Linked DNA regions of Oryzias latipes. The protein of the gene in region 3 purifies or fractionates together with the protein of the main gene of each other region. This does not show direct contact. Links are inferred from orthologs where the notes say so. Each region holds a gene or a part of one and is shown on either strand. Other genes may lie near its edges. The genes, in order: vangl1, kctd3, ptpn3 and vangl2.

The links.
Region 1: the proteins of ptpn3 (region 3) and vangl1 purify together in Homo sapiens (affinity purification with mass spectrometry; 4 studies listed by BioGRID and IntAct, with this or other methods). This does not show direct contact. The link is inferred for Oryzias latipes from reciprocal best matches to the Homo sapiens genes PTPN3 and VANGL1.
Region 2: the proteins of ptpn3 (region 3) and kctd3 purify together in Homo sapiens (affinity purification with mass spectrometry; 4 studies listed by BioGRID and IntAct, with this or other methods). This does not show direct contact. The link is inferred for Oryzias latipes from reciprocal best matches to the Homo sapiens genes PTPN3 and KCTD3.
Region 4: the proteins of ptpn3 (region 3) and vangl2 purify together in Homo sapiens (affinity purification with mass spectrometry; 3 studies listed by BioGRID and IntAct, with this or other methods). This does not show direct contact. The link is inferred for Oryzias latipes from reciprocal best matches to the Homo sapiens genes PTPN3 and VANGL2.

The regions. Positions count from the first base shown.
Region 1 is NC_019860.2:16,729,551-16,737,687, forward strand, and holds part of vangl1 (vang-like protein 1), read right to left. Parts: intron 3,232-8,137; coding exon 2,800-3,231; intron 2,470-2,799; coding exon 2,294-2,469; intron 1-2,293.
Region 2 is NC_019861.2:25,005,235-25,013,371, reverse strand, and holds part of kctd3 (BTB/POZ domain-containing protein KCTD3), read right to left. Parts: intron 8,005-8,137; coding exon 7,814-8,004; intron 7,585-7,813; coding exon 7,469-7,584; intron 7,223-7,468; coding exon 7,135-7,222; intron 6,858-7,134; coding exon 6,741-6,857; intron 6,618-6,740; coding exon 6,447-6,617; intron 3,370-6,446; coding exon 3,214-3,369; intron 3,036-3,213; coding exon 2,939-3,035; intron 2,870-2,938; coding exon 2,676-2,869; intron 2,553-2,675; coding exon 2,414-2,552; intron 1,858-2,413; coding exon 1,735-1,857; intron 1,304-1,734; coding exon 751-1,303; 3' UTR 1-750. UniProt on the Homo sapiens protein: Accessory subunit of potassium/sodium hyperpolarization-activated cyclic nucleotide-gated channel 3 (HCN3) up-regulating its cell-surface expression and current density without affecting its voltage dependence and kinetics.
Region 3 is NC_019874.2:17,813,439-17,821,575, forward strand, and holds part of ptpn3 (tyrosine-protein phosphatase non-receptor type 3), read right to left. Parts: intron 8,100-8,137; 5' UTR 8,027-8,099; coding exon 7,958-8,026; intron 7,248-7,957; coding exon 7,113-7,247; exon of another isoform or gene 7,046-7,112; intron 6,949-7,045; coding exon 6,906-6,948; intron 6,752-6,905; coding exon 6,670-6,751; intron 5,391-6,669; coding exon 5,346-5,390; intron 5,252-5,345; coding exon 5,199-5,251; intron 5,012-5,198; coding exon 4,894-5,011; intron 4,811-4,893; coding exon 4,723-4,810; intron 3,650-4,722; coding exon 3,561-3,649; intron 3,489-3,560; coding exon 3,425-3,488; intron 3,313-3,424; coding exon 3,110-3,312; intron 3,020-3,109; coding exon 2,894-3,019; intron 2,770-2,893; coding exon 2,608-2,769; intron 2,499-2,607; coding exon 2,405-2,498; intron 2,326-2,404; coding exon 2,248-2,325; intron 2,161-2,247; coding exon 2,104-2,160; intron 841-2,103; coding exon 684-840; intron 591-683; coding exon 415-590; intron 126-414; coding exon 35-125; and 1 more.
Region 4 is NC_019875.2:3,181,987-3,190,123, forward strand, and holds part of vangl2 (vang-like protein 2), read right to left. Parts: intron 7,175-8,137; coding exon 7,039-7,174; intron 3,314-7,038; coding exon 3,070-3,313; intron 1,230-3,069; coding exon 969-1,229; 3' UTR 1-968. UniProt on the Homo sapiens protein: Involved in the control of early morphogenesis and patterning of both axial midline structures and the development of neural plate. Plays a role in the regulation of planar cell polarity, particularly in the orientation of stereociliary bundles in the cochlea.

The DNA.
Region 1 (8,137 bases), on a different chromosome or scaffold from region 3:
CTGTCTAGGTCCCCTGGGTGTTTCCTCTTTCAGTTTCTCTCCTTCTCCAATTCATCCTTGAACATCCTTGTTTTTCTGCCCTTTTTTTTTAGTGCAGAAATTGAAAAAAATAAAATCTCTTTATTTCTTTGAATATTTTAATCTTTTTTTTCATTAATAGCTTTTTTTTTGTGGTTTTGTCATTCATTTCAGCTATGTTTGCCTACTTGCCGTTGATTGGCTGGATCACATGATCCCAGGTACAGCAGAGGTGGCTGGAAGCATTTAGCAGTGCTGGTTTTTGAGGACCAGGATTGGGCAGATTAGATTTCGCTGGTGGGATGCTTAAAAGATTTAAAGAACCACTTCGATAGTCTTTTGATCTTTATTATATATATACACGTGTTGACTTTGACCATAAGTGGGCATGTCCCGTGGTTAATATGCTCAGTCAATGAAAATGAAATCTATTTTCAAAGCATTCTCAGTGGTCTTTTCATGAGGAATTTGACGTTTTTCAGCCAAAACCTTAAAAACCTGGGGCGCTTTTTAGGATTTGGCAGTAGTTGATTAGAAATTCACCTCTGAGTTGTGGGTGGAGTAAGCCCGCTCCCACTTCTCGTCATCCGTCAACTTTCTCGCTAGCTCCCACACCCCCAACCTAACCCTACTGGTGCGTCAAAAATGGTGGGCAATATTGGAGCTATCCAGCTCTACAGTTTTAAACCTAATAGTTTAAAGCTTTTTATTTGGTATTTTATGGGCGACTTCTTTGGTATGTTGTCGGTTCTCTTTACCTTTATTCATAACTACCCTTACGGGTGGATACCAGCCGTCTGTGGGCAAAGAAATGGGCACACACCCCTTCTAGAACATCCCTCTCTCTTCTTCCTTTCTGTCAGGTCCAACAACAAAATAAAAAATCATAACCCCCTATTGTAACAGTAAAATAAGTCCAACACAAGAGCTGGGCATCCAGGTGGCAAGATATCAGGGTCGTGACCCGATCAGTGAGCCCGTAGAGTGAAAATGTTCATGCACATTTTTTCTATGGGCATGCTGTGAGATCCCTTTTCCAACACACGAGGATGTAGAAGGTGAGACGCAGGATTTTTGAGACATTTGCACATTTTTGCTAGGGGCTCTTTGGAGGAAATTATACATTCAGAGCGTAGTTAGTGTAAGCATCCCATTGGCATCCTACAGGCGTATCATGTGTACACATTCGTGTGTGGTCAGTATGGAGCCCTCCTCGCACCTTACTAATGACAAGTGTTGCGTGTCATATTACCTGTACGCCAAAAACGCATACAAATTACATTAGCCTTATCAACTAGGGCTGCACAATATGAGGAAAACTTGCAATGTGCGATATTAATGATCAATATTACGATGATGATACGACTTGCGATAGATAAACAAATAAGAAAACAGCCAAAAACATCATTCCCATTTCACTCCAACAGTTTGATTTAAACAAGAGTCGACATAACTTAAATTACACTCCAAATGCCCCTCGTCTACATAGGAGGTGAACATTTAACATAAAAGGTTTCTATCTGATTGGTCAACAACATGAAGGGGTCCATCTGATTGGTCAACTGCATAAAGGGATTTATTTGATTACTTAAATGCTTCGAGCTGCCATAAGATTGTTTTAGCACATTAAAGGTAACCATCTATTGCAATTTTCGCCTTTTTGCGATATGCGTATTGCACAGTTGATATCGCCATGACGATAAATTTGCTATTTATTGTGCAGGCCTATTACCAACCGTACGACAGTCGTACATTATGTCCTTTGAGCTGGACGTACGAGCCACAGGGAAACCTACGCTCCTTAATACAACCCTCCACGGGCCCTAAATAACCCGAAAACCAGATGAACCATATTTTATCTATAATAGCTTCCTTTCTTTTACGATGAAGAAACTGTTACTTTCTCTTCACTTCCACATTTCTAAAAACCTACCATGGCACACGTCCCATCTTTTCCTCTCACTTCACTTCACACACTAATCTCTACGAGTTCTCCTTTATCTCCTGATCTTCTTCACCTGCACCTCTCTATGCACAAAAGTCACGTCTGCTGAGGAAGATTAGCATCAGAAAATACTTCCTCACGTCTTTTCTTTTCATGACGGCAAACTTCTAGAGCACTGGAGTGGCATTAGAGGTTCAAAAACTCCTCCTGGAATAACCTGAGGAGCCCGTTTATCCTAGAGAATTTACAACTGACCCCAACCACAAAGCACTCTGGGAAGCACACGCAAGGAGTCAGAACTGAAAGGGTCTCGTCGCCGGGGATTCTCACCTGAGCTGTCCCAGGTTGTAGTGCCTCGTCTCGCCGTCTGTGGAGCGCGTGACGCATACGGAGAAGCATGGCTGAAGCTGGCGGAGCTCCAGCAGCACGATGGCCAGGTAGTGGATGAAGAGCAGGGCGTCCACAAGCGAGACGGCGTACTGAACGATGCCCTGGTAGTCTGCATCCTGCAAATGGGACAATATGACGCATGCAGCAAAGCACAAAATCAACGTTTTCAGAAGAAAAGAAAATAGACCCTGAAATGCTGGATACCCTAGGAACATAAATATTTAGAAACGTTTCAGAGAAAAAGCCTTTGGACCTCGTGTTTGTGTTTTCTTCAAGCATGCTGAAGCCACCAGAGTTTAAATTAGGTGTTTGGGTTGTGTTTTGTGATTTAGCGAGGCTCCCGAAGGCAGGAGAAATAAATCTGTGTGCATATAATGAGTGCTATCCCGCCTAATTAGCTTTTTTTGGGTTATTCAGTCAAGATTGTGGTTATTGTCTCCACACACCTGCGCTTCAAGTATCCGGACTGCGTAGAAGAGCCAATAGGAGATGACAAAGAGCAGCACCAGAACAGAGAGGAGGGCCCGAAACGCAAAGACCCGTGGGAGGCTTGCTCGCGGCGGCCTGAAGAAGAGTCCCCAGACGGCCAGCAGGAGGATGAGGAGCTTGAAGGCTATGGAGATGTAGAGGCCCTCGCAGGCCGTCCCGCAATTCTGCAGCTTGTCTGGCCAGAGGAGGTGGGGCAGCACCAGGAAGGCCAGCGGTGTGAGGAGCACCAGGACGCCCAGGATCACGGCCAAAATCCGGGTGAGGTAGCGACGACAGTTGAGCCCCACGCTGTCTTCCAGGTCCTTGGTGATGCGGACGATGTCCTCCTGGGACAGGCTGTGCTCGGACGTACCTGTGATGGCCGTGGTGGTCTCACCCCAGTTATCATCCTGGAAATACAAGGAGGACATATGATGCAAAAATAAAGGACCTTTTAATTCTGATAAGTTATCAATGTGTCTTTTCTTGAAGTAAAGTGAATTTTGTTTACAAAAACGGAAAGCGTGATAGGCATGCATTTAACTTAAGCAACTTGCTTGCAACCTTTGTGTAGAATAACTGGCTTTGACATCGAGAAACGCACAACAATATTATATACTTTCTGGAGCTCCAGTGTGCGATTTCTTTTAACCAATCACTACTGAAGCCGCAGACCAAAGAGATCCAGTTACCATGAATAACAATAAGTTGGAAGTCCCAGCTTTGAGTACCACATTCAGGCAAGGTTAACCACCACAGTAGGTAAGATGAACCACACAGGATGGAGCAAACAGGCCTTTTTAACCTTGTAACACAGGAGATGTCGCTGGAGACACCTAAATACCAAACAGTAACCCGCTTAACGCGATCAATGGGAGTCAGCTGATTCCTACGTGGAGAATAGTGGCTGTTCATATTGGCTTTGCACCAATAATGGCATCCGGCTGCTTTTCTTGGCGACCACCGACTGACGTTGATTGCCTAAACACTTCACTACTGTAAAGGGTTGCTTATCAGTGTAAAGCTGCTTTTGTCCCCTTCAAAACCCTCTGGAATTACCTTAGTTGGGTTGACCCATCCTGAACACTTAAAGAATTATGGTTGTCAAGACAAGAAAGGTGATCAACTCTCCATCACATGTTCATTAAAGTTCATCGCTTGTCCATTTTTAAGAGTTGTAGGGGTGTTGAAAATAGGTCAACAACTCAAAAGTATATTTTCATGGTTTGCATATTTTTGGTTAAGTGAAGAAAATATCTGAAAACTGACTGGCTTTTGGGTGTCAGCCGCCATCTTGGATTGCTGTTTTGCCTTCATGATCATCGCACACGTCACATGACTCAAGGCCCGTACACACCGGGACGAATATTCGCCAGGCGTTATTCGCCAGCGTTTTTTCGCCACGTTTTTTTGTGTTCACACCCAGGCAATTTTCGCTGTCGATGAGCCGAGTGAACATGCAATTTCATTCCCTGACATTAGATGGCGCTTAATGTAAACAGAAATACTCCTGTACACAAGGTGGCGCTGCGCAACTTTACGCTTCTTAAAGTCGCTTTTCACTCAGAAGAAGAGAGCAAGTATTTACGCGCTTGTCCGAATAATACAAAGAAAACATGAATATTTCAAGCACCAGTAGCTCCAACTGGTGCTTGGTTCGGGGATATTTTAGAATGTCCGTCATTATTTCTTCGCGGCTGTGTAGACGCTACTTGGCGTCTATCTTCTTCGCTGGTATGCGTGTTCAGCAAGGCAGTTTTGTGTTTGAGCGCCCCCAAGTTGTGTTTTACTGTAACTTCAGAAGCTCCAGACACGTGTGCAAAAGCGCCATTCTCATTGGTCGAATAGATTTCGACGCGAGGCGTCAAAAAAAAAAAACGAACCCGAGGCGTTTTTTTTGACGCTTTGACGCGTGGCGTTTTTTCGCGTCGGTGTGCACACTCTCATTGGTGCCCTTTGTTTAGTCACGAGGCGTTAAACGTGGGCGAAAATCGCCGGCGAAATTCGTACCGGTGTGAACGGGCCTTAAGAACTATCAAATGACATAGGGTAGTGCAGAAACCACAATAAGTTGCAACAATGGGTTCCTCCTTTAACAATGCTTCAGCAGCCAGAATATTAAAGACGCACAAAAAGCAAATCGCAGAGTTTACTTTCCCCCCACGGAAAATGGCGAGGAGAGGAAAAGGTCAGAGAGAGCGTTCCTGCATCCGTCGATAATGAATGTCAGCAGTGACGGAGCGGCACCGTTACAAAAACACAGATAAAGACTCTTTACATGACAGTCATAACAAGCTTGTAATGTGATAACAAAGCCGGCCATAAAAGGCCACATGACCAACAGTCATCAGCTGCAAGAAAATGCAATCAAAGATCTTTTCTTCTATCAGCCAAGAGCTATCCAGCTGAAATGAAGCCGTATTTAGGAATCACATCAGTGAGAAGAACCGCACACTGGCAGCAGGGGTTTATCAAGAGGATGCATTATGAACAGTACAGACAGGGGGTTTGGGAGGCGGAGGCGGAGGAGGAGGAGGAGGATGCACTGGAACAGAAAATCTCTCGGTAGCCTCCAGGTTTAAACCACAGAGCTGAAGCAGAACAATGGGAGGACACATGGAGCACAATCAAGTTAGGTTTTACCCCCCCAAAAAAGGTACAATTGTATCCAGAAGAGTGTTTATTAGTTCGAAATTCAAACGCAGACTTCTTTGTTTCTGAATTATTCGTTGTCTGAAAGTATTAAAATACATGACTACCATTACCCTCAAAGGTGAGGATGCCTTAGCAGTTAAGCGGCGGGCGCGGCAACAACCGCGTCCCTTTGATGAGGACCAGCCCTGAAAGCCGTCTCGAGTTCTCCTGGCCTTTGACACGAGGCTGTAAATAGTTGTGACGCTGTCGCGTCCAAACATCTCCACTGACCTGGCTCGCATTTCCCAAACTACACTGAGGAATGCGTGGCTGGGGTTCAAAGTGTCAGCGGGTGAACGAGTTACCGCATTCCTTCGGGCGACTAGAAACTCGCCGAGCTGACGGCGGTGAAGTCCCACCGTTTTTTTTAATTGATGGGTGCAAAGGAGAAAAAAAAAAGACTGAAATGAATTTTGTTTGTTTAATCTGACTGGGACTAAAGTGGTCTGTTTTTATTAAGCAGATTAAAGGAGATTAATTAGCTGCTTGTGCACATGCATTTAGAAGTAGTCTGAGTGGAGTGGGAGCCTCTCTGCTGTTAATGAGCAGGACTGGAGAGCCCTCAGCCTCTTCACAGATGCAACAGGCTTTTTTTTATCTTATTTGCATGAGCCGTATATTCCCTACAGAACACTAAAATCAGTGCAACCTGATTTTCTTTTTGCATTAGCAAAGCTAAGTGATTTGTAAAAAAGGTGGAGCCACATGCCGTTTGGTCAACAGAGAGGAACGGGCGGGAAGCTAGAAAAGCAACTAAATAATGAGCTTCCCGCCCGGCTCTGCTGTCTCAGTCCTGTCAGATTCTTAAGGCTTAATCCTGGTGAACAAGCATGCTGCATGTGACCGAGTGTGAAAAACAAAGCAACAACAAAAAAAGAATCAATAGCCATTATGTGCAAGACAGAGTGCCTCTCTGACCGCAGAGAACCTGTACAGCACCCACAGGACTCACAGCAGCCCGCGTCTGCTAACAGATTGACTCAGCTTGTCTGTTTCTGACACTAATTCCATTTTGTTCAGGGTTGTTGTGGGGGTGACGCCTCTGGAAGCTTCTTGGCTACACTTTCAGCCCCAATCCTTACAGACCCACTCCAAGAAAAAAAAAATAAAAATAAAAAAAAGAGTATTGCTGAATTCAAATCCTTGTGAATCAGGAGCGGATGAAAAAGATTGTATTTGCTCCCCGCTCAGCTCCATTATGCTGATCCATATACTTTCAGACGACTAGATCCGTCTACGTCATTGTTTATCCGGGCTCAAAACGGCTGGATGGCTCCAATATTGCTCGCCCTTTTTGTTGCACTGGTAATGTTAGGTTGGGGGTGTGAGGGGCTGTAAGCTAGCGGGGAGAGCATGTAGACAGAGAGCTCTCAACAGGGAAGGAAGGGGCCCAGGGTTGCTCCGCATCAACAGTCCCGCCCACAACTCAGAAGCAAATTTCTGATAAACTCCTGCCGCCCTGCGGCAATTATGTCCCAAACAAAAACGAGAGGTTTTTTAAGTTTTTGGCTAAAAATGGCATAGTTATAATAAAAAAAAACTGGGAAAGCTTCTGAAACAGTTCAAACGATGACTCTGATTTAAGATTGTATCAGCGAAGCATAAAAAAAGGATTTGTGCTCTGTGTGCTTGTATTTTTTTTACCAAAATTCGGTGTAAAAATAAAAAAATCTGATCCTTCTTACAGGACCTGGTCTTTCCCTCCATCAGCATTACTAAAAATAGACGTAAATGACCCATATTTTCTCTCGGGATTAACCGATCCCTGCGGGCTGCCCTGGAGCAGAGCCGACAGCCTCGAAGCAACTCTGTTCCATTCATCACAGCAGAAGAAGTGAAACGGCCAGGAGAACAAAAGGAGGAAGTGAAGGAGCGCTTCAGAACGGCTCAATAACAAGAGCACTAATTAAGGAGAGGAGAGCAATGTCAACCGTGACAGATGATTAATCAGAACTAATGATCTGGAGGCTGAGAAAGTACAGAGAGGAAGTTACCACTGTTCCGACATGGATACAACAAGAGGACCTAGCACGTGTCAGGTCTGCTCTTGTCTTACATCTGCCGTTATTTGGCCAGATTTGCAAGCGTTCCTGCATGGAGGAAGTACACCTGAAAGAATGAGCTCCACTGCTGAGTTTGTGAAGGATAAAACAACATTTTGCAAAGAGGGTCTGATAAAACTTGCCACCTGTTTCCGCTTCAAAAGCTAAGGCAGTAGCTGCTGCTGATTTTTAAAAAGTTCCAAATTGGTCTTTATAGCTTGTTTCTTTATCATTAACACCTACTTGGTGTGTTAAATAAGCGTCCAAACTCTCATGCCAAATATTATTTTTGAATTATGCATCATTCAGACCTGACAGGTGTTAGCTTCTCAGGTTTTCTGTTAACCTAATCAAATATGCCTTTTTCCATTTAAAAACCTGCAGTTATTTTGTTTTTATGCTGCCAACCTGATAACTTTATTGCTAAATTTATGTAGACTAAACACTTTTTAGATCAAATAGACTTTTTGAAAAATTCCTGCACTTTTCCTAACAAGCAGTGGATCTTGCTGTGTGTCTGATGTCTCAAAAGAAACATCCAAAACAACGAAGGATTAATTGAACGCTACAATGGAACACA
Region 2 (8,137 bases), on a different chromosome or scaffold from region 3:
CCCCCAATGTGATTCTGCACAATAAAGCAATAGAGGAAATTACTAAAAACAATCTCCAAGTTTCCTTAGACAATCTGTATGTGTCTTTCTATCCACATCAAAAACCAACATGTAAGTGTCTATGGGAAGATATAAAGGCTTTCAAGTATCTGCTAATTTCTAGCTAAAGTAAAGTGTTTAAGCTGAGTTAGCAATTGCATACACCGCAATGAGCTTTAATTTAAGATCAATCGGGTCTTTTGTCTCTTCTACTTAAATGTAGGTTTTGAGCAAACCATAGATGGATCTTGATTTCTTAAAGCAGTCAATCTAATTAGTGACCTCTGATGTGTTTGGATAATAAACCTTTGAGTACCTGATCAGACAGACGCTCTGCTTTCCTGTGTCACATCATGCGTGAGCCGCAGCGACACAAAACACACAAACACTTTCATCGCCTCTTCAGGACAAAGCGTAAAACCTAAAAATGCAAAAACATCAACGCCCAAAGACTATGATGGTCTTAACCCTAAAAGCCGATTTGCAGATGTTTTTAGACCCAACAGATGTTTCACTGAATGTCCCTCCTCGGCTAGAGATGATGTGATGTTAGTGTTGAGATGTTGTCCCTTAGTGCAGGAATGAGTAAACATAGTAGTGCTCAGGATTGTGGGCTCCCAAAACAAAGATCCTGAACTTTTTTTCTCTTTTACTTTGCAAATTTGAAAAGTTCTTGTCTTCACCCACAACAAATTCAGCAATTGTCTGGGATTACAAGCTGCTGTCTTGACTGGAGGCTTCAGCTGCCAGTTTCTTCTGTCGCGGGGAGGTGGAGGCAGCTAGTTTGGTTGGGGAGGGCGAGGCATTTGTAGATGAGTCACTGCCCCCACCTTCAGATCCAGATGGGAGGGAAAAGTGAGGAACAGGGGGAGCCCGCTTTCTCCCCAGAAAGCCTCCTTCCAACACTCCCTTCTTCTTCACACTTCCCTCAGCCTTCATCCAATCTCCTCCATCTCCTTCCTCTAGCTGAGGGTGTACTTTTTGCCTGACATCCCCTCCTGGAACTGGGCTGTCTGGAGGTTGCCGTGGTGATTCCTGACTACCTTCTGCTTTTGTCAACGAAACCCCCCCGACAGTGGAACCGGAGCTTGCACTGTTGGTGCGGGAAGCCCACAGCTCCATAACTGAGGCTCTCCTCTCAATGTCCTGAGGTGCGAAGTCACAAAACGAACGGCGTGCATCGGCAGACTGGTGGGGGCCTTGGCAGGACGTCTGGCCTGTCTGGTCCAGACCTCCCCGACTCAAGCTGAAGTTCTGGAAGTCTCTGTGGAAACATACAACAGTGTTAGTAACTCAACTGCAAACATGCTCTTCTTATGGTCTCAAGTAAGTAACTTTTTTCTTGGATTTTTCCAATAAAAGTTTCACAAAGTAAAAACATGATCAGATTGCTATGATGTGCTTAACAAAACCAAATTAATTCACTTATATGAGATGGATATGGAAAAAATGCATTTATATTTTTATTTATCACCTAATGTTATTAAAATCCTCTACATGGAATCTTAACCCCTTTACACCATATGTCCCTAATTCTCAAATCACTATTAAATTCAGGACTCCACTTATTTAGCAAAACACTGAAGAATATTTTTAAATATAATTGGAAATAAAGTCAGCCTTGAAGGGTTTAAAGACTTAAATTTTAAAATTCAAGCTGAGGTATGTAAGCTAGTTAAAAAAGCCCTCCTCCACCTGTAGCTGTGGAAAGACTCAGTCCGGCGAGCTCGAGCCAGCAGGGGGCTCTCTCTGTAGGGCCGCACAGCTCCATAAGTGGCCTGGTTTTCAGGAATGGGCTCCGGTGCCTGTAACTGCAGACTGTGCATGACGAGAAGAGACAGACAAGCAAAAGCCCAGGAGTGAAATTAGCCAAGGGCTGTTAGTGTTTACCTATTGGTTGACACCGCAGAGATGTTCGACTGGAGCATTAATACGGCAAAAAAATGAACTCAGAGGGGAAAAGATCACAAGCAGGTGAGGAGTGCAAAAACTCTTGAGGCATCACTGCCAAATATAAATGCGTGGGTCACACCACAGGGAAATACAGCCCAGTTCCAATAATTACATAATGTCCTGATTTAGTTTTTATTTATTGTCGAAACTGATCTGGGCGTTTATTATCCAGCATGCATTTTTACTCTACCAGGTGTGTTTGATTTAGCAGATCTGTGGTAGTAGTTGTAGTGACTAGTAGTTAATTTAATAGGCTTTTGAACACAGTCTGCAGCCAGTTATTTTAAAGTGATATGTGGGATCTGTGTGTTGAAGAGCCTCAAGACATCTGCTAAGAAAAAGGTTTTCAACAAGTCAGACAGGAAGAGTTAGATGGCATTTTGATGAGTGCACGGCCCGGTTTTTGCAGTGTATTTCTAACCTGGAGCAGGACTCTCTGAGCTGTGCATGGTGCATGACCGATGGGGCGGGGCTAATGTTTGGTGTTGCACAGCGAGAAGTACTCAGGTCACACTGGTCCAGCAGCTGCAGCAGCTCCTCCTCAGTTGGTCCTCCAACATCTGCAACATAAGGAAGCCTTAAAACACAAACCTTTTCAAGGGAATACTGATGCCGGAATTAATTTATGTGAAGACTAAAAATATACACGCCATTGCTAGCAGCTGCCGTCACTCCTTCCTCACCGTCTTTTTTTCTCTCCTCTCCTTTGTTGGCCGTGTCCATCGCTGTGGTCAGGTCCCACATTTGGATGCTGCCATTGCCTTGTCCCGTGAACAGATAGCGGCGCGGTCGAGATCCCATTCGACTGGAACCCTCACACTCTCTTACCATGAAGCAGGTGATGGTAGTGCCATCCACTGACTGCACCTCACAGATCCTAACAGCACAAAGACAAATGTGAAGCATGGAAACCAAGCATGTTCTATCAGGAGAATATAAATATTACCTTTTCCCAGTAGAAGAGAGCCTCACAAACAGTTTGTTAGTGATGGGTATGACCTTCTGTATGAAAACCTGTTGGTCATCCCTCTCTCCAAATGGACCTGAAGGGAATATATCCCCTTTGTTAAAAAATACTGGTTTATCTGTAGTTTTCCTCAATCTATGAAATATTATAAATGTTTTTATGCTATTTCATAAAACTTTTTTTAATTAAGGGCTAAGAGCAGTCAGTTACTTTGTTCTTTGTTTTGAGCGTGTGTTTTTGCTGTTTCCTCTAACCTATATCATTTCCAGAGCAGTAGCTGCCATGACTTTCAGTTTCCTCCAGTGACAGTATTTTAAATGATGCCAGAGGGGTGGAGCCTGGTTGAGTTGAAATCATCCCTCGGAACCGGGTCACCGTCCAAGTCCGGACATGGTTATTATCTGCACACACTGATAAACACAAACACAATCCTCCCTTGAGTTAATGATGAGGACAAGGATGTAGTCAGTCAAATTTAAGAATAAACCTGATTTTATATTTGATATGCTCCAGCTGTAATGTACTGTACAAAATAAAGACATGACTGTTTGAGGCATCCAGTTCAAGAGGCATCAAAGCTGATAACAACTGTTTTTAAAAAACAAATCATAACATAACTTTAGTCAATGTTTTGTGACATAAAACTGTCGAGTTTACTGAAGCACATTTGCACAAAATGACTGAAACAGAAAAGCGTGTTTCAATTTTGTAAGGACATCCAAACCACTAAAAAAACTTGCATTCAGTCTCCACAATGCTTTACACCAGGGGTCGGGAACCTATGGCTCGCGAGCCATATATGGCTCTTTTGATGGTCACATGTGGCTCGCAGACAAATCTTTAATTATACTTTTTTTTTTCATTAGACCAGTCCTTCTCGGGCGCGATGCGATGTCAGAGGCGCGGAGTAGTATCGGTGCTTGGAGAGAAAAATCAGCGCCAGCATTATCAGTTTACTATTATCTATTATTTCACAGAGTTTGTACAAACTGGAAACCTGTGAATTGCCGTGCCTAAAACTGCGCGCTCCCGTCTCTGAGAAAGAGCGCGCAGTTGTGGGGACGGGATGTGTGAGGAAGAAAGCAGAGGGTGGGTGTACGGAGGGGGTTGTGGGGACAGCAGGTGAACCGCGCAGGGATTGTAAAAACGTAAAACCCACTGCCCGTCACTCACTGCAGCGTGTGAGTGTGTGTTTGGCTCCAGGTCTGCATGTGATCAGTCTGTCTCACATCTACAGAACAGTCAGACCTACGATCACGTTTAAAGTCTCAACACCTGCATGAAGCAGAAACTCACCACGTATCAACCAGACTAGACCATCAGCAAAACTACCACGAGAAATACTCATCATTTATCAGCAACAGCATAACGATGTTATTCAAAAGAATCCACAGACTTATTGTACTTTAAAAATGTTGAAATTACATCAAAGCACACATTCATTTGTATATTTAGTTTTAAACAAATTGTCGCGGACTGAGTTTAACTTGGCTGTTGGGCCGCGTTAAAAGTTCTGGAGTTCAATGAACGCATCAAGCAGAGATCTGATTGGCTCTCAGTTCTGTCGCTCAGCCTGTTGTTAGGGTGTTTGGACCAATGGGGTTCAGCTATGGGCCGAATAAGGGAAATGGGAGGGCGGGAGCGGGAGGGGGGAATATAAAGTTGGGAGAAGCGCTCTCGTCTCGGCGGGAGAGATTCAGGAGTTGCTGAATTAATTGTGCGGCGTTTGTTGAGGTCTATAGTAACCAGAATAAAGAACCTTAAAAGAGGTTAAGTCTCCGTGCCTCAGTGTGGGAAAGGGACGCTACATTATTGTATGGCTCTTTGGAAATGACATTTAAAAATATGTGGCATTTATGGCTCTCTCGGCAAAAAAGGTTCCCGACCCCTGCTTTACACACTAGGATAATTACATCTGTCAGATGTAGCCTGTTACATGTGACAAGAAAACATTTCTTATTATTGCTCTTTATTACTTTTTATTTTCATTTTTATTTCCAGAGCTTCCTCATTTGGGTCCTCTCCCTCTGAGTTGGCTGCTGCGGCTCTAGATGGGGACCCGTTTCGCCACCTTGCTGTAGTGTTGCTGGGTCCCCAACTGCGAATGCTGCACCCGGCTAGCTGTGCTGCTATCTACAGAGAGGGAGCTTCCAACTGTTAGCATTTATATCAACAAACGTTTTCCGTGCTCACCCTCTTTCCTAATGTTTATCTCCAGCATTTAAGGGAGCGGGGGGCATGAATGGGGTTTGGGGTTCTGTGTGGATCAGGGGTGGAGATGGGGGCTTTATTTTTATATTGTTGTGCTTGTTTTTATATTATTTGTTTGCTCTAGTGTAAAGAACTTTATGATATGTTCTATATGAAAAGTGCTTCATAAATAAAGATTGATTTGATTAATAACCAGTGACACAGATAAATGTAAAACAAGAGGATCTGAAACACAAAATACAAACGTATTTTACATTTATGTGACTACTGGTTGCCAAAGAGAAAGACATGTTCAATAAAATAAACCCCCAAACCTGTCCATGTTATCACTTCTGGAAGGCCAGATAACAAAAAGACAGCTATTTAAAACTCCTGAACAATAGTGCTGTCCGTGGTCCTGATTTTTTTTTCACAAAATCAAAACTTTTTTTGCAGTTGTTTTATCCCATAAAAAATTTAATTCTACTCATTTTAAATTGATCGATTAGTTTTTCCATGTCCCAATGGTCAAAGCACACCACCCAAATCTACTGCCACCTAAAACCCAGAGCACCTTGTTGGGAATTAAGGAAGGCAATCCCATGTCGATCCCAAAAAGACTACAAGGAATCCCCTTCCCGTAGCTGGTTTGCCCTCTTTGGGCCGGTGAAGTTCTCCTGACAAAAGTGGAGGAGTTCAGATATCTTGGGGTCTTGCTCATAGGTGAGAGGAAGTTAAAGCGCAAGATTCAGGTGGATAGATACGTCCATATTAGTGAAGAAGCCAAGTCACAAGACAAAGCTCTTGATTTACTGTTCAATCTGTGTTCCTACCCTCACCTTTAGTAAGGGGTATGGGTCATGAGAATAACATCCTGTATACAAGCAGCTGAAATAAGTTTTCTCTAAAGGGTGGCTGGGCACACCCTTTGAGATAGTAAGAGGAAAAGAGCAGCTATTTAAATACTGCATACCTAATGGTATACCTGCCACTGCTTTTCTGTATAACACATATAATCTAAAACATTAAAGTTAATATGAATTCGTGTGAAAACATTAGGAGTTGATCATTTTGAATTTATAAATAAAAGTTATTTGTTAATAGATAATCCAAGTTGCGTAATATTTGTTTCTGCAGTAACACTCTTCTACCAATAGGGGTGCTGCAACTACTTTAGTGACTTGGCAGGAGTCTGTACAAAGACAGATGTGAAAATGTAAAACCAAGAAAATATGTTTGTCATTTTTGCGGGAATAGATTGGACAGTGAGTGGTTGGGTAGTCCCATTCCTCCTTACCTGACACCAGATGTTTTTCAGACAGCATGATTTTAGTCACTGGGCTCCTGTGAACAGTGAACGTCTGAAAGAGCTGAGGACCTGATCCTACTGTCTCCGGGTGTTGCACAATCACTCTCACTGCCCCACTGCTCGTCCCATAAGCTATTTCTATCCAGTTCCCACTCACACCTCCAGAGAGACAGAAGACAGAGGGGGAAAAAAAACACAATATCCTCACAGTGAGTAACTGATTTGTGATGGAGGTTGAATTGTTGAACAGCACAAGGACTTATAATTATCTCTGGTACTTACTGGTTTTAGGAGTGAGGTACACGGAGAGTGCTGTGATGGCATCATTGGAAGGGTCGTGATAGAGCTCCGTCACTAAAAGGTCATTGTCCTTCATCCTCAGAGGGAACTTTTGCATGTCTGGAAAAAATATGAAAATAACATGTTGACCCTTCTGCGGTCTCATTTTATATTTGATTTTTGTGTTTCCCTCAAAAATGGAAACAACAATCACAGCTTTTTATTGCTGTGGGAATTGAAAAGGTAAAGCTATCTTGGATTTTTACAGTATTTGTTGAAATTCAAATTAAATATAAATGCCCTTTTTGTTTTTTTTAAATCTTCTAACAGGAAAAAAAATTAAAGTATTGGTATGTTCTTTACAACTGACCACACTAACATCCTTGTTTGTGTTTACCTATGTAATAGATAGAGCCATTATTGCAGCCCAGAAGCAGAAAAGATCCTGCAGTGTCACAGCTGGTGATGGGAACCACATCCTGAACCTGGAGCGCAATAAAGGTAGTCATCATCAGTTCAGACTTTTTTCAGTCATTTTTGTGAAACTACAGAGAATTTCTTCTTTATTTTCAAGTTTATTCCATAATGTTTCTACATCTGTTCCAATTTTTTTTTCCTGTATTGTTATTAGTCATTAGAAACAAATAAGAAAAAGTTGTAATCACTATTTTTAGTTTTGTTAAAAAAGATTTAAATTCAGCTGACTTACTATAACAAAATACCAAACCTACCTGCCAGTGCTGAGTGACGGCGTTCCAGACCCCAACCTTTCCTGTGTGGCTCGTAGCCACTAGCTGGTTCCCGATGAAGAAAAGGTCATCAACCGGAACGCCGAGACTGAATATACCTGACACCGAAAACGTAAACAAGAACAGTCATCATCTTTTTTTATTCTGAAAGAAGCTGAGGAAAAGTGAACTACATTAAAAGGATGCAGAATAAACAGGTGTGCTGAAAAAAGAATCAACAAAACTTGAATTGTCCTAATTATCTCGCAGACCATGTGGGATCAGTAGGTTTATCTGTAAATTCTGAGTTTCTCAGTAGTTCAGTTTTTAAAAACTTTGTTAACCCACCTATCTCATTCCCACTGCCGCCATCTTGGATGCTCCAGAGAATGATTCTGCTGTCAGAAGCTGCAGCCACCATCTTATCCTTGTCTCCATGCGGCCCGCCCACCACTTTGGCATTTAGTGCAATACGTTCAATGGTCCAATCAAGGTAAGGCGAAGAAAACACTTGCTGCCATCCTGTTGATTCTTTAATCCTATATTCATGGAAAAAAATTATCTAAATTAACCCTTATACAAAACAAACTGCAAGGTTTCCTAAACTGATCAGTGGAGAAGATCTTAAAATACTAAACTCACGGCATAGAGGCTGCATTAATAAGATTCACA
Region 3 (8,137 bases):
GCCAAATAAAAAACAAACAAAAAAAAACACTCACACGGCAAAACATCCCTGTACCGATTCTTCTCCTGGTTTTCAGGGAGTCGTGAACAGTCTTGTGACATTCCGGGCTTCCTCCTGTATAAATTCTAGGGATTACAAACATGTAAACAGACGCACACAGACATAAAGAGAAACTAAAAAATCCAGCAGAGTCAGGGAATCTTTGTTTTCTGAACTACATCCAACTGGAGATTAGGGTCAACATCTGTCCAAAAAGCATTTGAAAGGCTTGCTGTGATTTCAAAACCCAACAGACCATGACAAATATAAGGCTGCTAATAAAAAGACAAACACGTTTGATTTTGTTTTTTTGTGGTGTTCTGGCTCAGTGTAATAGATTTGACCGACTTTAGCTCCCACTTGGACTCTATGTACCTCAAAATGAAAGCACAGCGTGCCAGACTGTATGCCTCTCTCCAGCTGTCTCATCGATTCCTCCAGCGTTTTGACCCGCTCTGACTGGCCGGGGGACTGCGGCTTGCTGTCATGTGAAGGGATGGTGAGTGTGAGGGTGGGAGGTAGCTGCAGTGAGGGCGCCACTCGGCCAGAACCTGGATATAAAAGAGAGTTTCAAGGTTGCTATTAATATTTATAAATCTCTCAAAAGTGCATTTTTGAATCAGCACTTTTTGACGGCTACACACCTTTACGTTTGATAAGCAAGGCCAACTGTCGGGAGTGCGATTCCCTGCTGGCTCGTATAAACATGACCACTTGGTCGTGCGTGTGCTCAGAAATGTCTCGACCGTTAATGAGGACGATGAGGTCTCCCTCCATGAGTTTGGGCTCAGATCGACCTGCCTACAAGAAGAAAAGTTTATATTTATGGGACATCCACAGCCCAAAGTTCAGATAAACTGATATTTTACCTTCATGTTGTGGACCAATAAATAAAGAAAATCAATGATGTCAAGTGTAAATTTAAAAAAAAAGAGAGGTGACCTAATTACAAGAAGTAAGAAATGTACAACTCATTAAATAATTTATGAAGTAACAATAATTTAACTTTGTTTTTTTTACAGACTAAAGTGGCCATTTTATAAAATCACACAAGACGAAACAAAAGAAACAAAAAAGCTTGAAACAAACTGCGTACCTATGAAACATTACATGAACTTGATTTAGAATATTTTAGCCAGGTCCTGCTTGCTTTTGTTCCTCTTTTTTTACACAACCGTGTACCTTTAAAAACTCTTGTTTTTCTAGCAAACTGCTCTTAACCAGGCTTAACCAAAAAGCTTCACATTTAAACAAACATTAACCCACCCACCCATCCAGCTGGTAGCCAGTCAACATAACTTTCCTTTAGAGTTCTCTTTGCTTTTCTTACCAGCCAATGGAAAGAGCCATTACTACTTATCAACAGATTAACATTGGATTTGGATTTTCTGCATTTTTACCCAGCCTGTCTTACTCGGACTTGGGAATTTCAACACTTTATAATCTCTTCCAGCCTGATAACTTTCAGTCATTCTTTTTCAGAGTTCCTCACAAGTGTGTTCTGGGTAACGCCACGATCAATGTGCATAAATATAATGTGGTCCTGTGTCGTTTAGACTCTTGTTTTTCAAGATAAAACAATATACTAACAGACAGTTGGTTATCTATTTGCTGAAGACTAACCGTTTTTCTTAACTTAATGTAGCTGCATTCACTTTTACCACAGACAGAAATTTAACACTGCATCAATCCCTGCAATGAAGATACTGGGAAACGTTGTTTCCTTTCATCTGATGGATATCTGACTGATACATGGGATGCAAGTATTGATTATTAAATTCAATTGATTGATTTTCTTCAGAATTTATTGATATTAAAGTTTGAAAATGGTTTTGATACGCTTCTGGGTTTGGTAAGTGAGCTGTGCTTCAACAAACACCATCAGTTGCTCTTTATGCAATGATTCGTATTTCTTTGCCTTTTGGTAGTTTCATTTATTAATACAATTTGTAAAATCAAAGAAAACAACTAAGTCTGATATTAGTTTATAAGATTTTATGCGTGATCTCACTTTAACTGAACAAAAAGACCAAACATATAAATGTGAAAATATGCAACACTTACCGGGGAGTCTGGTTTGATATGGGAAACAGACAGGGGCATCTTCTGATCCACCCCACCCTGATGGGTAAAAAAAACATAATCATGAGACGAAATCCTAAAACAACAACAGAAAAGTATAATAGATGAATGAAATGAGGGACATACTTTAACGTTGAAGCCAAACTTGCCCTCATGGTCTGGAGTGATACATATTAGCATGAGGTCTCCATCACCCAAAGCATCCTGCATGAGGAAATTTTTATTTCAGACATGCATCAAACCCCGTATGAATATGTTTAGGATTTAAGGTGAGGTGGAGCACCTTATTATAGTAGGGTGGGGTGTCCTCCTCTCCTATACTATCATCAGCATGGGACAAAGCATCATCTGGTCCTTGGCTGTACGATCCAGAAAGGCTAAAGATAAAAAAACAATAAAATATTTTTTTTCCTAATCTGATTAAGTTTTGTTTTCTTTCATTTGAGTTCAGTAAAAACTAGACGTTCATTTGTGAGCAAAACTAACCGGTTAGGTGAGACGTCTCCTTCGCTGCCTTTGCTGCTGCTCACAGAGGCTCTGTAAGTGTAGAACACATCCTCCCCCAAAGACATGTTTTTCAAATCCGCAGTGAGCTCCGCAGAGGACGGGCGAGGCTTTCGGATCTCATGGCGAACTCTGGGACTCCGCCTGCCCCAACAAACACAGCGGCAATCAGGTGTCGTGAAAAATAAAAACTCAATTTTTGTCTCAATAAAAAAAGAAGAGATGGATTAAGCCGTTACAACATGACAGTGGCTAATGAATGTTGTACCAGTTGGGGGTGGATGGAGGTGATCTGGATGGCAGGCTCTTGGTTTCAAGATGTTCTAATGAAATCGACCTCTGCAGAACCGGATTCCACACCATGCCGCCAACCACACGCTGGTAAACAGGGCCCCTGCAAAAAAAAAAAGGGGGGGGGGGGTGTTAGAAATCAGCAGCATTTATGATGAAAAGATTGAATGTATGAAATAATTTGGAAGCTCACGTCTCAGCTTTGCTGTTGCTGAACCCCAAGTGTTGTGTTATCAGCTTTGTGTAGGTCTGAACTGTGCTGTTGCCCTGTTTAGGGCTCTTGGCGTTGCGGTTGGAGGAAAAAAAGGAGTGGTGGTCCACACATGAACGCCACAAGTTCTTGCAAGTTTTAGGGCAGAGAAGAAGAAGAGGCACTTCACAGTCTTGGGTCTCCCCCTGTAACATGCAATAATTACAGTTTACAATCAACATTTTTGAAAAGGCAAATAATGTGATTCCAAAGTCAACTGTGATTAAACATCTATGAAGAAGGCAGAAAATGACTCACGTGTTTCTGTTTTAAATGTAGAAAAAAGCGTTTCCTCTTAAAAGAAATCTTGATAATTTTCCCCCTGCATGGAAGTAGCACAGCTCATCAGCAGTTAATGGTTAAGAGTTGAATAATACAACTCATTATTACTCACCAGGGGAAGAAACTGGAACAAACCATATTGCAGAATATTGCGACCCCACTTGAGGTCAAACCCACCATTAAAGGTGTATTGTTAGTGTCCTGGAAGAAGACAGGATTGACCAAAAAAAAAATGTTTAAATAATGTTCATTAATGCAGTTTAATATTGTAATAGTAAAAACTAAACAGAAATTTCAGTTAAAATCCCATTTTACATTTGATTTTTTACAACCATGGTTTGTGTTTGAAAGAATGCAAACTATTTGATACTTGCAGAGATTTAAAACCTTGTTTTTAGACATTCAAGATATTCAACCAGGTTTTACGTTAATTTAACTTCTCTTTATTCTACACCTTTATAAGCTTTTTTCTAAACAACACACTCAAGATTTTTTTGTCTCATTAAGAGCCAGGAATGAGAAACAAGGAAATAATCGTTGAGATTAATTAAAATCCTTTTACTCTATATTCCTGACAATAAAAAACTTTTACGACAAAATAAACAAATTCCACTGTGATTTTTGCTTTTATTTCAAGAATGTCGTTTTTAGGTTCAGGAAATGTTGATATGTTAGAGTGACATCCATTATTTTGGAAACAAACACAGATTTATGTTCTAGGAATATGAGCCAGTTTTAGATTTATTATAGAGAATTTATTAAAATGGGTCAACTTGTGCTCAGATTGTATTCTTATTTGTTCACATTTTGTTCTAATATGAGTTATTTCCACTTATTGCAATAGCTTTTGATATTAAAATGAACAACACTTAGTTAAAAACTCAAAAAATACAAACAGTTTGCTTAAAACTATAAAAAAAACAACAATAATAACTATTATTTTTCTCTATAACATTGCATTTTAATTCATTTTAACAGTTAGCTTTTAGCTTATTTTTCTCTTTTTAACGCTTGTGTGTAACTGCATGGTCATTTTAGTACTTCTACTGAATTTCTTCTTAATTTTAGTGTTCTTTTCTTATTTTAGGTTCCCTTTTTTGCAGTGTAATGTTGAGGGGGACATTTAAAATGGCCTAAATCATTACAAGCTCAACAACTTACACTTTGACACAAAAAAACAAATATTCTTCTTAAACATACGGGTAATGAAAACATGTGGTTTAAAAAAAACAAACATGTGATTTTCCTATTAAAGCTTAATCAAGTCACACTACCATAGCAGCGTGAAGCTCCACTCCATACAACTCCAGCGTCCGGGCGGTGTTGAGAAAACACAGCTCAGCATCGCTCTGCTTAAGCCCTCTAAGAACACAAATACAAACAATTACGTACAACAACAAGAACCTGTTATTCAATCGTTATGAGCAAAGAACTGCCTCTAATACTTATGCTGGGGATGGAGATCTTCCACTTTGGAAAGGAAATCTTCATTCTGTTCGGGCATAAAGTGGCATTTGGAGAGGTATCCGGGGGCCCGGGACGGACAGTGATCCCCAATTTCCGCTACAAGAGACAGAAAGATGACACCGATCATTTAAACAAGCAGCAGCCATCCACTCATGCTGACATCTTTATGAGAGGGATGTTAATTGAGATGATAGAGGGCCCCCTTCAATGAATAATTACTCACACAGTTGTTATTAAGTCATTCATCTTTTTTTTTCCCTCTAGGAAGAGATTAGGGACTTACACTGCACAGCATAGGACGCCAGCACCACTGCAGCATTCAGCGGACACTGCAACCTGCAATAACAATAATTACGCACACTATACACAAACACTGTGTACAAGAGGGACAGGTGGTGAGGTTTGAAGTTTTTTTTTTTTTTGTACAAACCGTCCTTCTCTGATGTCGCTTCTAATCTGAAGGAAGTACAGGTGCCTGCGGGAGCGAGACAAGAGGAACTTAACACACCCACGCATGCTTTCTGTATCCTGCATTGTTATAGCCACATCAGCTGTCTGGTTGTGCTGGTTAGCAGATCTGTGAATAACTGTACACTACAGCATTTAGACAACTGCTGAACACAAAAGCAAATTGGTTTTCTAACTGTATTTTTTTTCATCTACTCAGGACCAGGTTTTCATTTATTCTGCAAAGTATCAGGTGTAAAATTGAGTGCAGCCATTCACCGCTTTTCTGCCTTGATAAACAGACAGTGTTTGCACACAGGAAATTCAGTGACATATGTAAATAAAGGCCTTGCGGGTCAAAACATCCAATACTGGGAATAGCAAAAGAGTAGATGATAAGTGTGACCACAGAATTTCATTTAAAACACTTCTTGGGTTTGAGGCTTGTGCAAATCCTCAAAATAAATCAATAACCTTATATATATTTTATGTTAAAAAAAAAGATGAGTGCAACAAGCTGAATGTCTTTTTGTGGCTCTCACAACCCTAAGGCATTCTTAAATACATGACCACGCCTCTAAAAGGCTGCATGTGCAAAGGACCCAGGAATTTTTTAATAAACTACAATTTTCTGGAAAAACAAGAAAAAAAATACAACCAAACAAGACGTAACAACCGCCCAAAACAGCAGAGTGACTCTTGTGTCCGAATTCCTTCCCTACTCTACCAATAGTGCACCATATAGTGCATTCGCCATTTTGTAGTGCTGTCCGAACCTACAAGTGCCCTAGAAATTTCCCAGAAGTCTCTGCGAAAAACCAGTGCCCATCGATGCTCACTAGATTGGCGAATATAGACCACAATGCATTGCGTCTGAACAATTTCTGCCAAAAAAATGTATTTAAATGTATTTTTTAAATAAACCAATGTTTTTATCTTCAGAAGACAGTGGATTCATATCAATTAGATTTGAACTTTGTGAAATCGATGACGTCATATCCACCGTTTAAAAAAAAAAAAAAGTAGTGAGCATTGCCGAAATGCTTTTAAAATTCAGAGCACTAGATAGTCCCGCACTATATTAGTAGTTAGGTGTTAGGGTGGGAATTCGGATATAGCCACTGCCATTAGGGGCACAGTAAATGTCTGCATTCCTTCGTTTTTAGCTAAATAAAGTCAGGATTGCAAAAAAATAATTTAAAACTTGAAAAAATTTCAATGAAAGATTTTAAAGTAATAAATGTAAGTCATCATTGAGGGGGGATGAGAGAGGGGGGATGAGATGCGCTCTTGTGTTGGGTTCTAACCTCGTCTGGTCATGCTGCAGAGAGTTGGGATCGGAGATGAAGAATCGTACTCTGAAGTTCAGATAAAAGGGGGACACGAGGCCTGTGCGGAAATGTCATTTCGTTAAAAAAAAAAAAAAAAAATCACAACCGCTGCCACATCACAACTGACGCTGCTTTACGGGTATTTTTTCCATCTGTGCACTGCAGTAGGTTTAGAAAAACCCACTGCACCTGTGCCTCAACAAGTACCCTACCTTTGATTTGCTTCTTCAAGGGTTTCTCAGGCTCCAACCATCTCTGAAAGCAAAAAAAAAAAAGATTCATAGTACATTGAGGCTCACTGCAGCTAAAAAACATTTATGTAAGAACGCCCTGTGGTTATCATCAACTTAACTGCAATCAGCTAGCGCAAGACATTACAATCTGTGTCCAAATGAGCGGCACATGAAGGGTAAGCTCACAGGAGAGTGTGTGTTGGCTGTGAAAGAGGCTATGGCTGTGCTGGATTCTCTGATCTGCAGACTGAAGAGCTGCCTCTCCTGCAGGCCCAGGTGGTCAAACACCAGGCTCAACAGAACCTCGCCTTCATCCTGCTTCTGAAAAATGGAAACAACAAATGGCATTACGCTCAGCCAAAAATATCCTGTCAACTCTCCTGGATATGACTTAGTCTGTTGTTGCTTTTGAAGGGGAATGGGATTAAAGGCTATAAATAACAGTTTGTAAAATGTCATTTATTCCAGATAAGATTTGATTACTTCAACAACAACAAAAAAACATTGTAGTTTAATTAGTCAAGGTTTTATTAAATGAGTCTGAAGGATATGCAGCCGCTCGTCTGCATCCGCTCCGCATTAAACCTCCCACTCCCTGTAACTGGAGTCATATTCCCATCACAAGTACTAAAGAACTAAAGTAAACTCATCTTTCAGCAGGAAACTCCATCATATTTGGTGAATTTGAACACAGCATTTTTTTCAGCCTTTCAGGATGACAAATCTTTCTAACAAAAAGAGTGATGGAGAATCCAGTGTGTAAAAAATGCTGCACCCTGAAAGTAATTCAGAGATGGCCCTTCTGCTGAGAGTGGGTGCTGTATTATGACATGCTGATGCAGACTGAAGATGTGACGAGCATATGCAAGCTGCAGGAGGTGAGAGTGACCTTCAGGCTCACAGTGTTGAGTTAGATGTGACTGGAAACAATGAATAAGACGCAGCTCCATCACTCATGACTATGCGACTCTGAGCGCTACAGGAAACGACATGCGAGGCAGCAGTAGACGGAGCTTAGGTGAGCTACGCACGCTGACTCTGAAGGTCTCGATGGTGCCGTCCAGCAGTTGAACTAAGCAGAGCAGGTCCGGTTTTGGCATGTCTGTTACCGCGGTAACTCTGCTTCCCTATCCAGACAAACGCCCTGCCATCGACTCCTCTCCGAGAGGGGACCTGGAGACACACAGACATACACAACAGCAAACGTCAGA
Region 4 (8,137 bases), on a different chromosome or scaffold from region 3:
GTCATTTTGATTACAAAAAACCCATTAAAGCCTTAATAACATTGCAAAAATTCCCATGGAGGTGATGTTTGTTCTTTTCATCTATGAAGCATCACTGAGGGGTTTCAGAGGCCGAAGCGGAGCTGGGATGAACATCCAGAAGTCTGCTTTAATCACACTAATAAACCTAACTGAAAGACGAACAAACTTTGATTTTTGAAAGTACATCTCTTTAAGTGGAGCTGCACGTTTTTCAAATGAGCTCCTTTAAACATTCAAAGCCCTACAATGGAGGAGTTGATCAGCAAAAAAACATCATGTCCCTTTGTTCTGGTAAAGCCAACATGCTCCATCCGGGTGACGGACATTCTGGTGAAAACGTAAGAGCAACGTTAGGAAGGACCCCCCCTAGTGAGGGGAGACTTCCGCTTTTTGCTGGGTGACCAGAGGAAAGCAGCATCTCCAGGGTCAAACATTTGCTGCAGCTAAACCCAAAGTGTTGCTGATCATGTCTGTGTGACCAGAAGCTGCATAAGAAGTGAACAGAGTGACGGACAGCAACAGGTTAGGAATGTACATCCATTCTTATTAACAGTCATCAAAAAAGACATATTGCTACATTCTTCAAAGCAAATATAAAGCGGTCCCTCTGGTACAAAAGCAAGCCCTTGCCACAGTGGAGGACCAGCAGGCATCAGAGCTGCAGTCGGTCGGCGCGTGTAAGACACCAGAGAGGGGGGGTGACTGCTGTTATAACCCCCCTCATACTTTATGTCTCCAGTCAGCCGTTCAGCGGATGATGAGGGAAGGAGGAAGAAAGGTCCCCTTCAGGACACAACGGCTTTAGCAGTGTGAGGAGAACAGGCCTCCGCTCGCTCTCCTGATCACAGTTTGACAGCGGCGGCCATTCTAAGCGCTCCTCTTCTTCAATGTTTTCTTATTCCGGCAGAACACAGCAAAAGACAAGGGGAGCATCAGCCGAACGCAGTTCAGACCGAAGTCTCCGACTGCAGCCTCATGACGAATTTGTGGCTCTTGGGGTCGATGAACTCCTCCCCGAGCCGCAGGAAAGGGAGGGGCGTCACCGTGACGACCAGGGAGAAGTCCAGGCGGCGCAGAGAGAAGACCAGACCCTGACGCAGGGCCGAGGTCACCGGCTCCTCGCTCACCAAAGTCCACTGGCGCCCTCCGCCGTTTTGCTGCTGGTATTGCATGGTGGGGCCGGGGGTCAGGTAACGCTCCAGGAAAGCCTGAAAGGAGCGAAGCTGGAGGTCATTTATAGAAAATGTGCCTTTATCGTCTTTCATGTAGTTTATAGGAGATTTTCCAACCCATTTAACCTAAAAGAAACATGCTTGTCTCTCATTTGTTACCTCATAACATGTTCTGAACTGTAATAAATAAACTAGAAATAGAAAATCTGTACATTTGAAAAATGTCCAGTCATTTCAACTGAAATATAAACCTCTGATAACAGTTTCCAAAGCAAAAGGAGAGAATAAATTCTCTTCAGGCAGTTAGACTGGTTACTTTTTACTTTTTCCCATTGTTCTTTAGGTTTTGATTCTGTGAAAACGTTCTTTACATAATATCATACTTAACATAAAAAACTGTCTGAAAACTCGAATGCAAATCGCACCATTACAACCTAAAAACATAAAAAATAAGAGAACAGCAGTTTAACCTGGTCGGGATAGAAACATGCCTTTTGAGTCATGGGTTTATGGGTTTTTTTGGAGTATAAGTTGAGTTTTTTTTTTTGCATAGTTTGGCCAGAGCTGCGAATTATATACGATTTAAAAAATAAAAACAAATAAAGGCTCATATATTTTTTTATTTTCCCGCTAACAACCACTAGAGGGCACCGTAGCAATGCAGAAGAAGTGCCGTCCAACTAAAACATGGGCTGTCTGACTTCCCAACCTACTTCCTAAATACTAAATAGATAGTGGGGGACTATGTAGTGAACATGGATTTTAAAAGCAATCCGGACACCATGCTCAGTAATCTTTTTTTTTAAGGGCGAATATTACGTCATTCATTTCATAAAGTAAAAACCTATTAAATACGAACATTTAACGACTATTTATGAATCCACTGTGTTTTGATGATTAAAACGATTATATTTTATTAAAAAAATTTAAACAAGTTTTTCACAAAAGTTGTTCCAACGCAATGCATTGTGGTCTATATTCGGCAGTCTGGTGAGCATCGATGCACACTGGTTTTTCACAGAGACTTCTAGGGTATTTCTAGGGCACTGGATTTTGGAATAGTAGATTGGGACAGCACTAGAAAATGGCGAACACACTATGTAGTGAGTAGGGAAGGAATTTGGACAAAACGTTTGATATTTTTCTTATTCGTGTCAAGACATTATTTTTTTTCTTTTTATTTCTTCCCTCTTTGGACAAATGCAGGACAAACTGGGTCCCAGAGAGACGGAAGTACTGCTGAAAGCGCCGTCATTCAGACGCAGCTCCTGCAGAAAAAAAACTTCTGAATGACTTCATGAACCCAGACATGGAGACGTGATTACTGATGTTTCTGTGGAGCTCTTCAAAATATATAAACCTGATCTGTCAACATCATCAGTGTCGTCCATGCAAATGAGATCTACAAGCAATGCTTCTCTGTAGTGATGAGGCCAAATATTTGATGGTAGCTCCTCCCACACATGGGAGTGTCTAGTGTAGGAACATATTTGGACACGCATTAGGCATCAAATATGATATGTGTTGAAAAAGAGGCAGCAGATTCTAATTTGACGCGTGAATCACATTTGGTGTGAGCACAATATAAAGCGGATTTGTTCAGGAGCGCCACTTATTTAGGATTGTTTCTTCTTTATTATGCATTTTTTTGGTGACTAATACTCGGCAGTGATTTGTGTTTTTAAGAATACAGGACTGTCTTTTTCTGAACTACACTTCTAGTCGTTTTCCCCCACAATATATTGTTGTTAAGCGTTTGCGTCTCCCTCAAACTTCTGAAATATCAAACTTCTTCTAAATATCACATCAATAAACTTTACTGCACTCTATAAATAAAACAGATGAGTATTTAATTAGCAGACGACGGGGAACCTGCCTTGGGCGTCATGTTATGCGTGATGCAGAACTGCAGGTGGGAGATGATGCTCTCCATGCTGTGGAAGGCCTGCTGCCGTGTGGTCCTCAGGTATTTCTGCATGGCTCGCGCCATGGGGGCAAAGATGGCTTGGGCCGCCTCCCGGGGGTCCATCTCCTCTCTGGGGTGTTTAGGGGACGAGGTGGCCTCGTCCTTGTGAAGACGCTTGATGTGCGTGAAGGCCTCTTCCACCGCCACCACCAACCTGCAGCACAGCCACATTCCCGCCCATGATGGTCAGTCAGTGAGAACGGCAGCTTGTATCCGCAAGTTCATTGTTGTCATAATGATTTCACGATTTTCAAGACGGCTCGAAGAGAAGTGACATGACAGAGGGGCCAAGAGATGGAGCCAGATGCCCGTCCCTGAAGCCCTGGAAACTGCCAGACCATGCCATTTACAAAAAAAATAAATATTAAACACATTATTAGAACTTCAGTCCTGTCATATTTTCAAGGTTGAATCATTTTTCACCAAAAATGGACCATTAGAAACACGCTGCGTCACGTTGTCATGGTAACAGCTCCAGCGGGCTCCACTCTCGCCATCTCCTCTCTGAGGAAAGTGATCATTGCGAGAAAATAAACAAAGCATCCTTTCAGAGGCAAAGCTGGCCTCTTCCTTCCAGATGATGAAGCAAAAGTTTGTTTTAATGAAAACAAAGTCTAACTAGTTCAGCTCCTCCAGTGTCCCGTCCTCATGTTGTCATTTCCTCCCCAGCTTCCCTCTTTCTTTTCCGCTTCAAGACGTTAAAGGAAACTATAAAATCACCTGTCTTTTCTACCGCTGTGATAAACTGTGGAAGGACTTTCCCGTCACAGTCCCATTCCCCCGTGACACACTCTTCTGACAAACATGGACACCAACCTCCCACCAGAACCAAAGTGGGGTTCAGTGTCTTGCTCAAGGACACTTCAACACATGGGTGGGGAAGGTGGGAATCGCACCTTCCCCTGCCGCTGCACCACGGCCGCCCCGTGGCACGTAGTGAAGTGTTCCTGCGGTTTTTTCATGTTTTTAATTAGAGCACTCCGGACCTTTTTTATTGTTTGAGGTTAACACCAAAATCCCTCTTGGTGGTGTAAAAGTAAAGTGGGAAGTCTGTCATGATTGATTAGTCGCACACAAAAATGGATCGCATGACAGCACTTATAGCAACCCCCCTGAACAGGATCCAGTGACCATCACAGGGGCAGACGTCCAAAAAAAAAAAGAGTCTCCCCGGGCGCTGACATGACACACTGGCTAAAGAAACTCACCGCCCTCCATGAGCGCCTGGCAGCACAAATCAACCAGCTGCTTGGAGATGGGACTCACCACAAATGGTTAACGGAAGGGCTAACGATCCTGATCCAGAAGGATCCCTCAAAGGGTGCAGTCCCATCCAACTACCGGCCAATAAACCGACCAACACATGAGGAACGACCAGAAGGGCATTGGTAGAGACTCCAGAGGAGCCAAACACCAACTCCTGGTTCACGGAATAGTCGCTCTAGACTGCAGGTCACTACACACCAACCAGTGTATAGTAGGGGTGTAACCATTCATTTTAATGATCCGATTCACAGTCGATATGGGTTCAGTTTGATCAATCCGATTCACTGACCTCAAATGGATCCAGAACATCTTTAGCCAAAACTTCCATCAGTGTAACTCAGAATTAAATAGCTGGTACTAAACAGTTCAGGTCAAGTTTTCCAGATTCTTTTCATTTCTGGCAAGATAATCAAGCGTAAATGAAATATGTGTTCAACCAAACAAGTAAACAGGAACTAAAGGGAAATCCTTTCACATTTTAGTTTCATAAAGTTCTGTTTCCCACTGCTCCTTCTGATGCCTTCTCTTTTTTGTCTCTTGATGTTTTGTTTCCAGTTGGGACCTTTTAAGGCCTAGATCAAATGTTTTTCATCCGATACTCCTTTTTTTGATCATTTCCATCTGCTGGTGTTGTTTCCTTCAAGACACCTTCAAAATGGTTTCTTATGGTGACCTTTTCCCTGAAAGGGTCTTTCAGTTCTTCCATCTGCTTCTGGGATCGGTCAAAGGTGGCGCTCCTTTCCTCATGACCTTTCTTCATTTGAGCCATTTCATGAAGAAGATCAGAGTTTTTTTCTCTTCCATTCTTTTCTTTCCTTTGCTTGCTGGTTTTGTTGTGTCTTTGTTAATCCCAGTTGATGGTCGTTTATGAGAAATCCTTTCCTGTTTCCCATTGCTGTTGAAGATTTTGCTCTGTTTGAACTGACACAGCTTGTGTCTGGCTGATTCTTCCACCTGCTGGGCTAAGCGGCTCTCTGCTTTGTTTGCCCCCTTTTAACAAAATCAATCTATCCACTTTCTTCTACCTGCATGAGCCGTCTCAACTGGCCCAACTGGTCCAGCACACAAATAGAGAGACGGCCTTGATGCTCTTCATCTGATGAAGACTCCTGCTGTGCTTGGACCTTCATTTTCTTTGCCCTTGCTGGGTTTCGTCATATGGAACGCCGCCGTCCGGAGACATTCACATATTGTCCAATAAGGGCTGCTGCTGTACAGCGATTGCTCTGCCACCGCACTGTGGCTTCCCTGCCTGACAGACCGCCGCCATCTTCATTCATGACCACGCCAAGGATTTTCAAAAATCAGATGGTGGCATGAAATCTTGAAGATTCTGCCATCACGCGGTGGCAGTTCTATATGCGACCGTGGCATCATGGAGCGCCAAGCAACCATATGGACGAAGCTTCCTTCGCCAGCCCTTCGTGAACCGCCACCTTAATGTGGAGTAGGAGGAGTTTGTGGGCTCAAGTGATCTCAGGAGCTATTGTCCCTGGTGGGGACAAAATCAAGGGATTTACAAGCGCATTGCACGCACTACCTATACATAAACATTAAGCTTGAAAACGAGTTTAAATGCTTTGTGACACAATGAACACTTTTTTTTTTTTACCTTTTTAACCCTTTGTTGTCCTATGGGGTCCAGACGACCCCACCCTTACATTGACGTGTTCTCCCCACCATGACAAAGGTGGATAAAGGTGGAAAGATTTGTTGTAATCCATGGACACCAGTGAAGCTCACAAATCATTGAAGAAGAAAGGTTCAGAGCACTGTATAGTGGGTCTAGATGACCCAACTCCAAACGTTACAGGGTCTAGATGACCCCATGTTAAAGTGCCTCCAAGGCACGCCAACATTGGGAGTGGGGTCATCTGGACCCCACAAGATAGCCCAAGGGTTAAGGCAAGGCAGGGTCAATAGGTTTTTTGAACACACTGAAAGCGCATACACAAAAAGCTTTAATAACCAGAAAACATTTAAATAAAAGCTAAATTCATTATTGTAAAAATATCTTGGAATCATTTTAAGATTGGAAACCAACACCAAGACATTTCAAAACTCAAGATTTAACATTGAACGAGCCCTTTTCTGCTGTTTGAGTGTGTAGAGCAGACAGCAACGCTGCTATTTACCTTTTTTTTTTTTTTTTTAAACCCCTCAGGTGGCTTTAAACACAGCCAGAAACTTGCTATGAAGCATATTTGTGGTGCTGGAGTGTCGTGGCGGGTTGCCATTTACTGTGGGCTTTCCTGCATTTAACAGAGCACCAATCATGTTGCTGCAAACGCCGACGTTTCACTGACAGAATGACAAACTGATTTATTTCCCAGCAGCCAAAACACTGAGGGCATGTAGAAACAGGACCACCTTAAGTTATATAAGGAGAAGTCAAATAGCTTGAATTAATGTGCTGGAAAAGGTTATAAGCCATGTTGCAGACTGCAGCAGGTCACACCTTTATGCTCGTGTCTTGACGGAGGTTAAATGAAGGACTGGAAGATCAGTAGATCTCTAGAAAACGTGCTTCTTACAGAGGATTTGAGTTTTCCCTCCATCTGATCAGACATTTCTTAGTCTGAATGCAGACTGATCGGCGTGTGTTGGTCTGACCTGGCTTTGCGTTTCCGTATCCTGCGCTCCATCTCGGCCTCCTCGTAGTAGTACTCGTTGTGGGAGTTGTCTCTCCTCCTGGCAGCAGCTGCGATCATGGCTCGCGATTGGCCTGTAGAGTTGTTGGTTGTGTTTTCTGCAAGACATCAAATGCAGAGGGAAGATGAAAGAGAAATGAAGCATAGCATTCGGTTTACACCAGGGGTTTCAAACTCCAGGCCTAGAGGGCCGCCCTCCTGCTGGTTTTCCAGAAATCCTGCCTTATCTTCTTCTGCTTAACGTTTTTTCTCAACGCCCACTGGATTATAGTGCGCAAAATAAGTAATTTTCTGTATTTAACAAATTTAAAAGGCGCACCAGGTTTTAGGGCACCGGCACATAAAACATACAGTAAAACATGCAGGCTGGGGTGCGTTTTAAAAAAGCAGTGGAAGCAAAACGGAGTTGCTTGTGATTTCTTTTTTCAGTCATCAATCAGCATCCAAAAATCCATCAAAGTCCTCATCGTCTGTATCTGAAATGAACAGCTGGGCTGAATTTCTATCAAACATGCCAGATTCCCTTTAGTCATTGTCAGAGTCTGTCTTGTCGCCGTGCGGCTCCTCAGGAATGATGCTGGCTTTTGCGACCCGTGGTTGGAAGACGCAGGGAAGATCTTCTCTCCGGGGCCAAAGGCTGATCTTCCTCCGGGGTTCACCCCCCCTCGTTCAGGCCCTCAGAGCCTCCAGAGCGGGTTAAGCCAAAGAACCAGTCTCAGTTCTTCTAGAGGAGCTTTCTTTATTACTTTTCTCAACTCCAAAACAACGACTGACCGCGCCTGTATGTATCGCTCAGACACACCGGTTTTAGCACACTCATCCCACAACACACGTTAGCATCTACAATCCATTCATAAATAATGGCCCGGCGCTGCCTCCCAGTCTTAGTAAAAGTGTGATAGCTTGCAGTTCAAACTGTGCTTCATAATTGTGTCTCATTGCAGGCAGCTCTTTCAGGGTTACCAGAACGTTGTTTTTCTGCAAAGTGGACACACCTGCACTTTTGTTCTATTTTTCTTTCACGTCTTATCTTCCCTCCTTACCGTTTTCATGCTGTTCTC